Linked DNA regions of Arabidopsis thaliana. The protein of the gene in region 1 interacts with the protein of each later gene in a biochemical or structural test. Each region holds a gene or a part of one and is shown on either strand. Other genes may lie near its edges.

Evidence for each region.
Region 2: the proteins of TRB1 (region 1) and AtPOT1a form a complex in vitro, tested with the Arabidopsis thaliana proteins (2 studies listed by BioGRID).

The regions. Positions count from the first base shown.
Region 1 is NC_003070.9:18,493,539-18,499,032, forward strand, and holds TRB1 (telomere repeat binding factor 1), read right to left. Parts: upstream 3,781-5,494; 5' UTR 3,591-3,780; exon of another isoform or gene 3,384-3,590; intron 3,213-3,383; 5' UTR 3,176-3,212; coding exon 3,026-3,175; intron 2,922-3,025; coding exon 2,713-2,921; intron 2,331-2,712; coding exon 2,246-2,330; intron 1,644-2,245; coding exon 1,560-1,643; intron 1,384-1,559; coding exon 1,024-1,383; intron 916-1,023; coding exon 901-915; 3' UTR 533-900; downstream 1-532. Other genes in the region: AT1G49960 (Xanthine/uracil permease family protein), read left to right, coding at 5,162-5,252. UniProt on the Arabidopsis thaliana protein: Binds preferentially double-stranded telomeric repeats.
Region 2 is NC_003071.7:1,889,116-1,895,020, forward strand, and holds AtPOT1a (Nucleic acid-binding, OB-fold-like protein), read left to right. Parts: upstream 1-1,568; 5' UTR 1,569-2,129; intron 2,130-2,355; 5' UTR 2,356-2,435; intron 2,436-2,598; 5' UTR 2,599-2,698; coding exon 2,699-2,825; intron 2,826-2,959; coding exon 2,960-3,096; intron 3,097-3,168; coding exon 3,169-3,361; intron 3,362-3,466; coding exon 3,467-3,564; intron 3,565-3,717; coding exon 3,718-3,797; intron 3,798-3,938; coding exon 3,939-4,205; intron 4,206-4,309; coding exon 4,310-4,386; intron 4,387-4,493; coding exon 4,494-4,552; intron 4,553-4,633; coding exon 4,634-4,792; intron 4,793-4,874; coding exon 4,875-5,081; 3' UTR 5,082-5,399; downstream 5,400-5,905. Other genes in the region: AT2G05220 (Ribosomal S17 family protein), read right to left, coding at 5,642-5,905. UniProt on the Arabidopsis thaliana protein: Component of the telomerase ribonucleoprotein (RNP) complex that is essential for the positive regulation of telomere length. Binds RNA non-specifically. Binds specifically single-stranded telomeric DNA.

The DNA of each region.
Region 1 (5,494 bases):
GACTGTGAGTGGCATAGTATTATTTTCTTTACAGAATCACAATTATAGTAAAAATACCATGGTCTTTTTATTTTTAATATCAATGATTACAAATTATTTTAGTATGTCAAATTTCGGATGATTATATATATATCTGTCAATCACCTAATAATCCCAACTACATATATAATCGGGAGAAATTGTTAGGAATGCCCTTTCAAACTACTCCTTTTCAATTCTATCATTTTTTGTAATTTATTTTCATTTATCCCATCTTTTGATTTTTTATGGTCATTTTACTCTTATTTGAAAATATTTTAGGTTTAAAAAATATAATAATGATTTTTCCTATCAAAATTATTCCGAAGATAATTTTTCGACCAAAAAAATCCGACAAAAATTTTCCCGCCAAACTTTTTTTTCTTCCAAAAGATCATTTTCCCCAGAAAAAATAATTTTAATAGAAAATAGATTTACAAGAGTTTTTAAAAGATTTACAGGGGATTTAAAAGGATTTAATTCCTTTTCTGAACCCGAAAACGATCCATATAGTGTCCCAAAGTCATTGTGCTTTTATATCTTAAAAAAACAGTACTACTATTAATTGATAATACATACATAATCAAAATGCTCATTGGCGATAAGCATGATAGTGCATAGATAGATCGGTCTATAAATTATACACATTACTAACGATAGTTGTATGTATATTGGAGAGTGAGAAGAGCCAAATAAAACATTTTTTCCCAAAAGTTGTGCAGGAATCAAAAGAGTCAGAGCGACGACATACTGACAAACATATTTGATTGCTTACTACTAAAAAACAACTTCCCAAGTAAAGAGAATGATCAACACAAACACTAGGCTTCTCTCTACTCTCTCTTCACATTTAGTCTCCTTCTTCTCTCGCTTTCCATTACCTCAGGCACGGATCATCTGTCGAATCACATTTTCAACAAAAGCATTTTGAGATTTTCAAAGTTCTCTCATAGATATAATGTCTTGTGATATAAAAGAATATGGGTGTTTTTTTCTTTTTTTTACCATTTTGCAGATGTTTCTTCCTTTCAATGTCTTTGAAGCTTCCTCAGCGAAAGCTTGAGCTGCTTCTGCTTCGGCTTCTGCTGCCTCCGCTTCCTTTGCAGCTTCCTCAGCCTCTGCCATGGCAGCTTCTGCCTCTGCTACTGCCTGTGCTGCAACTGCTGCCGCCTCATGTACGTTCATACTCTTCATTCTGGCTATCTCTGTATCAATCTGTGACCTTGTCTGAAAATTCACTTCATCTATGTCTGTTTTAGGTGAAGGCAAAGAAGAAGTCCTCTGTTTTCCTCCAAACACCCCCAGACCTTTTCTCCTGTGGGAAGACAAGGGAGTGGAGTTTGGAATTCTGTACTTACGTTTAACCTGTAAAAGAGAAAGCCCAGATCAATAAACCTCGCAAGTTGCAGTGAATAATGGATATGTCTCTGTTCTACTGACATCCATGAACTAAATTGATTTGCACAAAAAGTCATACATACTATTCAAAAGACCAAAAATATATGCACTCAAAAGCATTAAATGAATGTAGGAATTCTTACCTTCACAAGTTTCCCGCAAGATGTCAAGTACTTTAGCTTGGTAGACAACAAGCGTTTGAAGTCTGGTGGAGCATGATATTGATCCTACACAAAAAAAAAAAAGGAACACGGGTACAGTCAGTCCTCTAAATCAGTCTTTTACAAGGAACTTAGACAAAGAATCTTCAAAGCAGTAATCGTACAAGTTGAACTCAATATTTCCCATGCTTGAATCACATAAGTAGACGAAAATATTTATGTCATTGGCGTGTTTCTGAATTAACTACAGAATCTACTCTTACGATATTCTCATAATTATATCGACTTAAGTAGATGCCACCACAATAAATCTCGTAATTACAGAAATATTTCTAGCCCTTTCAGCTTAGTTTCAGTCAGGATATTCAATGCACATTCGTCTATTCAGGAGAGGAGAAGATAAAGATGTCACCCATTGCCTTGCAATAAAACTGCCACATCCGTTGCCTATATTGATATTGAGGAATATATTCTATTGACACAACCAAAGGCTATATTTTGGTTTTCATCCGCAATGCTTCACAGGTTCTAGTTGACAACATATCAACCCACTGAGGATCATTCAAATTGAAATGTAACACGATGCGATTTAGCTGAGAGTAACAATTTAATAATACATATTGTCTATGAGAAAAGAAAAAAAAGATGCAAGAACGAAAACAGAATACCTCAATGTAGGCACCAATTGTTGTTTTGTTACAGCCACCAGGTTCTTTCAGGGTAGCTATTGCTTCCATTATAAGGCTATCCAACCTGCAACGTTTTTAAAAGTTACAATTTGTCTATAATAAAAGATTTGAGTGATACAAACATCTACGTGTAAGTGGGACTTTACAAATCCTCATCATAATTTCACAATTATAAAGCCACAGTGATAGGATTGAGCAAACGGCTCGCATGATAATAGTAAGAAGGAGGAGAAATGTACTAAGCCAGTGAAGACAACTTAAACAGAGGTGTGAAAACAAACCCATATCACATGAATGTAATCCAACACTTATCGACTTGCACAGAATAAAAAGTGACGGCAAACCATACATTTTGAGATGTAATCCAACTTCAGAAATACCAGCGAGAGAGATACAACAAAGCAACTCCTCTTCAATACAAGAAACAAAATAGACACATTTCTAACCTTACATTAGGTCTCCTTGGAGGAGGATTAGAAGAAACTTGGAGTCCAGAGGTCGCATCCACATTTTCTTCATCACTTTGCAAAGAATTGGTTAGGGCTAGTGAGTTCTCTTCCTGTTTAGGAAGGGAGAACGTCCTTTTAACAGCTAACCTAGACTTTTCGCGCGATCCCCAGCCATTTGCCATGACACTCATGTTTCTCCATTTGTCCTGTCCCAATACAATAAACAAACCATCTCCCAGTCAGATAAAATCACAAACAAAATACAGTAGCATTATCAAAGCTGACAAAAAGGATAAGAAGTAATCATGACCTTAAGATCAACATTGGAACGCAGGTACAAGACTCCGCTAAATTCAGGATCTTTGAGAATTGTGCGCCATTTACCAGGTCCATGCTTTATAACTCCAGACTTTAAAGCTGACTCTTCTTCTTGAGTCCATTTCTGCTTAGGAGCACCCATCCCGATTTACGGTCTGCTGTGTCAAAGCAAGTCCGTTCTGCAACAATACATATCAAATGTCACGAAACCAATCAGAACTAAAGTTTCTACATAAAAATGTAAACTTTTTCTTCAGTTGTAGCTCACAATTCATCATCAAATACCACAGAATAGTAAAACCCTAATTCCCTGTTCCGAGGAAACCCTAACATAGATTATCAAACTATACCGCAGCAATAGTTCAGAAACTAAGACGCAATAGCAAACACCAACTTCACATCACTGAAAGATGCCGAAACTCAAACCCTAGAAAAATCCGTTCTTTCAGAATGAAGCCTAATCTCATGCTGAGAATATACACAATCGAGAAAGAAGAAACAGATGAATTCACCAGGAATCAGAGTTTAGAGGAAGAAGAATCGATCATTCGCAATACCAATTTTTGTTTAATCTCTGGATTCAGATTTCGAGACGCTTGGGAAGCAGAAAAAGTTAGGGTTAATGCGAATACAAGGATTCAGAGTAACGGACCTCCGTCAATTCTGATGCGGCAAACCGCTTAGACCAATTAAGCTTTAAACGCGTTTTTTCACAAACGGCCTTAAAACGCGTTTTTTACAAACGGCCTTAAAACGCGTTTTTGTTTACGCTAGTTATTATATTCTGAAGATTATAAATTGTCTAAATATTTACAAATTCAACTTTTAATAATGATAAAGAAAATATCAAATTCCCCAAATGAAGTGTTAATATGATTGTCAAGAAAATATATTATCAAAACTAATACGCAGTGACCCAGATCATATTTACACGAACAATTTGGTTTATGTTTGAAAGTTTTGGTGGTGATTAAAAATTTGATGATTAAGTGGTATTTTGAACATAAAATACAAATATGTTGCTAGATATAATTCAGAAATGTGTGGTGGGGTGGTAGTTGTGATATTTTTTTTCAAAAATGCTATTTTCATTTTATCCATAGAATTTTCTCTATTGTTTATTTTTTCTGAAAATTATCTAGTTGACTGTACCACTAATTAAAAAAAAATTGTGGACATGGTAGTTGCGATATTTTGAGAGTTTTCCAAATCTATACACTTGTTTTAAACACATTAAAAAGTTTTATAATTTATTTATTTTTGAATTTCTCCAAAATTTGAAATATAAAGATCATTTCGTAAAAAAAAGAAAAGTTCGTTGAACATAGTTTTAGTTGATTTGTTTTACTAGGTTTATTTTCTGCAGATGTTCAGTAAAAAGAAAGAACCTTCTCTAATTTCACCTAGATATTTATGATTTTATAATACAAACTAATTTCATATTTGGGTTTAAATTAATAATTGTCCAAATAATTTCAAATTACAGTCAAAATAAAACATTAGCAATTAGTTCCATCCAAAATAAATTATTAAATTACCAAATTAACATTTTTAGCTCATGAGCCCAAAATTATTTATGATATGAAATATGTACTTGATAATAATTCAAGTCAGCAACAATAATTCATCAAATTTATTTCAAAATAAACCTCCTTAAATCTTTCTGGATTTTTTAACTGATAATCCTATTGTTTTATCTTATTTTCATTAAGCCAACAATAAGTCATACCAATTAGTCATTAGTTATAATTCTTGATATTGGTTAAAGAGAATGTTTAAGTGGTGGATGGAGTTAGTTGTATACTTTTTTGGCATTAAGATGAGAATAATTTGCTACTTATAAAGACTTTGTAATATTAAACATCATATTCTTCACATGAATATACAAGTGGACAATTCTGGTTAAGTCACACCAGTGGTTTAATCCGGTTCATTTTTCTACGTATAGCATTAGTGTTAATTACGTGCACGAGAACACAAGACAGAAAGTAAAAAAAGCAAGAAAGAGTCAACAAAGTTGCCCGCCTAACGATTACTTAGCACTTTTGAATCCGTTTTAAGCAAAGCCTTAGTTTGAATTTACAGCTCTCATCACAAAGAGAGTAGCCCTTCTCGAAGCGAGTGAGATATGGCAACAAAGACCGATGATTTTGCACCATTTCCAGTTAAAGATCAGCTTCCCGGAGTCGAATTTTGTGTCTCGAGCTCTCCAAATTGGCGTATGCTTTTTTCTTTTCATTTAGATTTTGTTATATAGTTGTGTTCTATTAGCAGTAAAATTATGTTTAGTCTTTAGGATAATGAATTTATGTTTCACCGATAGTGATGAACTATACGATTTAGTTTAAATTAGGGTTGTATTTCTTATTAATCTACAAAACTCGTTTTTAAAGCGTTTGTGATTATTTAACAAAAATTTCAGTTGAAGCGTTTCCATTATTCATATGAGTTATTTAGTCGA
Region 2 (5,905 bases), on another chromosome or scaffold:
TATGCAATGATAAGAGTATCCATATACATGTGAACAAATTGTCAAAACAAATTGGTGATTGCAGCTAATGTAAAAAGTCATATGGATATAGAGGTGTGGATAGGTGTGTGATCTAAACACATCATTTCTAGATCCGGAAGATGTATCTGTTGGGAAACGATAGCTCCAATAAAACCAAATATCACATCTTCCCTAGCATTTTTGAGATAGAAAGAGATTAACACAAAGTTATTGTTAGCCAAAGTTTTTGAAGACCAACTACGTATCTATAGGCTGGAAATAGAGCAAAAATTAAACAAGGAATTCAAGGTGTTCCCAGAGAAGGGTATTAGAATTTTAACTGGAAAACTAGATGCATTTTAACAAATCAAATTTCAATGTCAATTCACAACATTCATATCACTGGATCCTAACTTGGGATTGAGTCAACTACTTAATTTAAAATTCTTCAAGTAATTTGTCAAATCGATCCTAACTTGGGATTGAATCCTATCTTACTATTTATCAATTTAACATTCAATCTTAAGAAACAGATAAAGCCAAGTAAAAATCCAATACGAGAGAGGATAAAATTTGGTTAAAGATGCTCTTACCTCTCCCAAACAATGATTCAGTTTTTCTTCTTCCCCAATTCAAACATCCTTAGTGATCTGAGTTGAGACCAATATTTTCTGTCTTAATCTTCGGCGAATTGGATTTCTAATGTTAATAATCCTTCGATAAGAAACGATGGTGGTGGCCATAAGTTTTCCAGCGAATGGAGAAAAATATACAAAAGTAAAAAAAAAAAAAAAAAATTAGGGTAAACATAGATTTTGATTGTGAATTTAGGATAACCTCATAATTTTCATGATTTTGTAAAAATTATAGAGAACGACAATGATTTTGAAAGAGAGATTGAAAATGATGAAAAACAAAAGAATATGGAAGAGAGAGATGATAAAAGGGGGATAGTTTCTTACCCACACGATCTCATCAAAAATAAGTTTAATAATTATTGTGTCATCATTACTTCAGGGGTAAATTAGTCCAATTTCTCCTCAAAAAGATGGCAAAGTGCCTAATCCCTGAAAAGTGCCTCAAAAGGAATAAAATTCTTTAAAAGTGTCTAAACGTGTCACATTCCCTTATCATTTTAGTCCTTTAATTTTTATATATTCAAAATATTTCAACACTTTGACTCGTAATCTACAGATTAAAAATAAAGAGACTTATCTATCTCTTCGTAATGCATTGATTGATCACATATGAGAGCATTACGAAAATAATTTTATTGAGTAATTTGTAATTTATAAGTTAATTTATGTATTTTTAATTTTTATTTATATGTATTTTATTTATAAATGTATTGTTTTGTTAATTAAGATTATGTGTAATATTTTAATGTATGTTTTAGTGTTATTATTAAAGTTATATAGTTTTAAAATAATTATGAACAATATAAAGACTATAATGCAAAACACATATTTTAGAAACTTCATATTTAAAGTATACTCTTGGAGAAGAAACTACTCATACTTTATATTTGAAGTTTACATACTCTATATATAAAATATCTTTTGGATATGCTCTAAATTATATTGGATTATCTTTTAGAGAACCTAAAACTTTATATTTGAGGGATAGAGTATCTCTTGGAGATGCTCGTGGTAGTTCAATATTGTACCTTAACTGTAACGTAAATGTTGTTATCTTTACTTAGACGTCTTTGATATGTAAAAATTCTATCTCTGTATCCTGTTTGTACTGGCCTCTCCAAGGTTCACCATTATTGGATGATGCACTGGGTTGATATATATAACATAACTTTTTGGCAAAAAAAAGAAACAAGAAAAAAAAAACAGTCTCTTTGGCGATAGCGATTTGGTCGGAGATTTCTCCGATTACATTGATTGGGACTTTAGTGAATCTTCACAGAAGCAACTTCACGGAGAACGGCGAGAAGAATGTGGAATTGAGAGCGTCGTTAGAGGATCGAGAAGCGTCGGCCGTTTCACTGGAGAGATCTAGTGTTGTTCGTTGATGAAGGGGTTCTAATTTCGATACCTAACGGAATTGATCATTGATAAGGTCTCATTCCGGTGGCAATCGTCGTCGCCGGAAACAATGTGCACAGATACGACCTTGAGGTTAGTTTATTCCTTTAAAATCTAATCACAACAAAATATATCATTTGTATTCATGGGATTATGTTCATTGTAATGGATTTGAGGATTTGGTAGATAAAAGTAGTAAAAATTGTGGATTGAAGAATTTTCTTGTGAGAGATGGTTGATGTAAGGGAAGGATCATATTCTGGAACATTTGTTAGCTTTGGTTACTTCTCACCATTGTGATGAAATTTGCTATATCCAGGGGATGATTCAAGTGAGAGAAAGATAAAGTTTTTTTGCCTTCAGTCTGATTCTGCATTGAATACTTCCAGTGGGCTGCAGGTTAGTGCTTAGTGTTCTTTTGATATCCTTGCATTGTCATTCCGTTGATGGCTATTCTATTGCCTCCAATGTATACTCATTCCACTTATTGGCTCCAATGTATACTCATTCCACTTATTGCCTCCAATGTATACTCACTCCACTTATTGGCTATGGGCTGCAGGTTGGTGCTTAGTGTTCTGTTGATACTCATTCCACATATTACCACTCTCTAATTTTGTGACGTCAGGATAATACTTAAAAACGTTGTAGCAAAGCGGGAGATGGCGAAGAAGAGAGAGAGTCCCAAGCTCATCAAAATCAAAGACGCCATTAAACTCATCAACCAACAAGTCAGTCTCATTGGTATCGTCCTTGAACAAAGAGAACCAAAACAATGTCGCAACAATGGTACTTATCCAAAAAAAACCAAAATTTGAGTTAAATACATAGAATTTTGCTTGAATCTGAATCTTAGTTGGTTTGTTTTGTGAAAGCCCTAACATTTGACCCAACAAAATCTGAAAGTTGGATTTTTTTCTTAGATTGGATTTGTACGCTACGGATAATTGATGATACGTATCCAAGTCCTGGACTTACTGTTAATGTATTTAGTAAGACTCTTGAACAACTTCCTCAAATCAAGAACCACGACGACATGATTCTGTTTACTCGCATTAAGGTACAAAGACCTCTTCATTTTCCTTCTGTGTTTTGTGCAGGAGGTTATAAAGTTTGGATTTTTATTGTGTAGATGCAAACTTTTGATAGTGGAGAAAGAGTAAATGCTGCTTGTAGTAGATGGGTTTCTTCCTTTGCCTTGTTCGAAGGTGTGGATTTTGTTTGTTACCAATGTAGTACCAATTTTCATGAAGAAGAAGCATTATACAAGAGTGCCATGGATGATTTACGCAAAGTTTTTGCGGGTTGTAGCCAAGTTATTAAAGGTAACACTGTGAGCTTCTTTTGCTTTCAACTATGCATATAGTATAATGGCTTTGGATAGCTTGGAACGATTCTCATAAGCTTTCATTTACTGTTTTGGTACTTAGCTATGCAGAGTATATCTTACAGAACAAAACCTTGCTCCGAAGTTTTTTCCTTCTTGAGAGAGATCAAGATAGGAAAACGCTTTGATTTGGTGTGCAGGGTAATATGCTCTATACTCTCTATTAACTGTGAGAAAGCTTTTTAACTCTTCATTCCTCTATACCACTTCATTGTTACTTCAAATCTTTTTTTGGCTCCTTTTATGTTTTGTTGACTGATCCTACCTTGTTTCCTGCTGTTTCTTGTGATGGAGATTCTCCATGCCGATGAAGATACTAGCGCTGTTTTTGTTTGGGACGGGACTGATGCACCCCCAGCATCTATTCTGGCTAAGTGAGTATTAACTGCGAAGGAAAAAAGTTTTAAATCCTCACATTATCTGTTTTGAGTCATTCATTTAGGCTTGACTCTACGCTTTCCATATCCTACGCTTACTCTTCTTCTATTTGGTGTACAATGTTTGGCTATCGACAGGAGAAGTGAAGAAGACAAGGCATTTAGCAGTCTCTCTGTTCATACTTTACTGTCAAGAGATGTACTGCTCAGCTTTCCAACCGTTGGAACGATCTTGAGAGTTCATCTAAGCAGTCATCTATTTTATCGGGTTAAACCTGGTGATTGGGTGAAACTTTACCATTTACTCTGTGAAGTTGATAGAGGATCTTGGGTAATCAAAGTTACCAGCTCTACAAAGGTTCATCATCTCGCTCAAGATGATCGTTTAGTTGAAAAGATCATGAGGTTTGTACTTCTTGATATTTCTTTCAGTAACTACTTCCGACCTTTTTGCATACCATGAGAATCTCTTACCATTTTGTTTTATAATCTAATGTGCCAAAAACTAGGATATATGATAAGAGACTATCATCAAAGTTGGGACACATTTCATTCTGGTGTTTTCCGTCACCTCCTGGATTAACAGGTTGCAATACTTCTCTTTTACTTAATGAGCAGGATCTAATCTCAACGAATGTTTTTCTCTGTGTCAATCTTTAGACAGACTTCCTTAACATTCTTGGTGTCTTGCAGAGACAGATGACAATTGTGCCCCATTTGTTACACTGATGGACATCATAACATTCCCCAAGGTACCATTCATGAATCTATTTGCTGTATTCCCTGAAAAGATTAAGAATACTTTTATGTGATCGCCTACGTTGTTATTACAGGTTACATGCAAGTACAGATGTATTGTTCGGGTTGTAGCTGCATATCCTTGGCAAGTAGAGGATTTCTGTTCAGATGAGAATCGCCGTCACCACCAAGTTTTGTTGACACTGGAGGATTCAACAGCGACTTTAGAGGCTTTCTTATGCAATAAAGACGCAGTAAATACACCATTTGGTCTATTTGCATCTAAACTGTCAACAAAGATCGTCTCTGATAGCCTAATCTAGATTTTATTGGCAGGAGTACTTTTGGGGTTTAGGGTTTCAGGACACAGAGACGCTGAGGAAGAAGCGGAATTGGTTGCTCGGTATACGGGAAAGCTCGAACTTTGTGGCTCCAAGAAATCCACCATGGATCGAGTGCTGCATCCTCTCCTACTATACTAACAAAGCTGACCCGTGGAATACTAGATTATACAGAATCTTTGGTACTAGACTACTTCATTAAGTATTTGTAAGTGTTAAAAGAGGATTAAATAGTTTAGTATTAGGCTCATGTTAAGAATGTTGGATTTGGCTTACTTAAGTATGGTAGTTGTGTTGTTTTAGTTCATGAAGACCTTGTAACCAAAAGAACATCTTCATGATATTAACCAAATCCAAAGACTGAACACAAAAATATCTTCCTCTAGACCTAAAGAGTTAATAGAAGCAGCAGGCAATATACACATTTTCATTGTGGAACAACTCTACCTTGTTCAAAGTTTTAAAATGGTTTCGACCTGTGGAATGTTTCACTAACAGTCCTTCATAAAACTCCACAATCTTCGCTGATACAACAACTCTCCCATGAATCAACTCGGATCTGATAAGCAAAAAGTATTGGTACTATCAAATGTTTGAACTCCAATTTTGGTTCCACATAACTTAAAAACCATTAATACGAAAGAGTCTCACATTGAGTTTAAGACATAATCAGAAGAAACAATAAACAACCACACAAGTCTTTCTTGTCCCTAACTGAGAAAAAAGAGAGCCAATCGTAGCTGATGATTAGCTGAGGCCATCTTAGTATCTTCTGGGTGCCCTGCCGCCGAAAGCAGCGATTGGTGCCATAGCTTGTTGTGGCTCGACTGCAGAGATGCCGGATGTGTCAGACATTCCTAGAGAAGCAAGCATCTCAAGAGTCTCTTTGTCGACCTTGATCTCATCAGTCTTGATAGCAGACTCATCGGGAACAAAGTCCATACGGCGTTCACGCTCTTCTTCTTGAAGCTTGAGTGAGATTCCACGGACTGGTCCCTTCTGGATACGTTTCATCAAGTGGGTGGA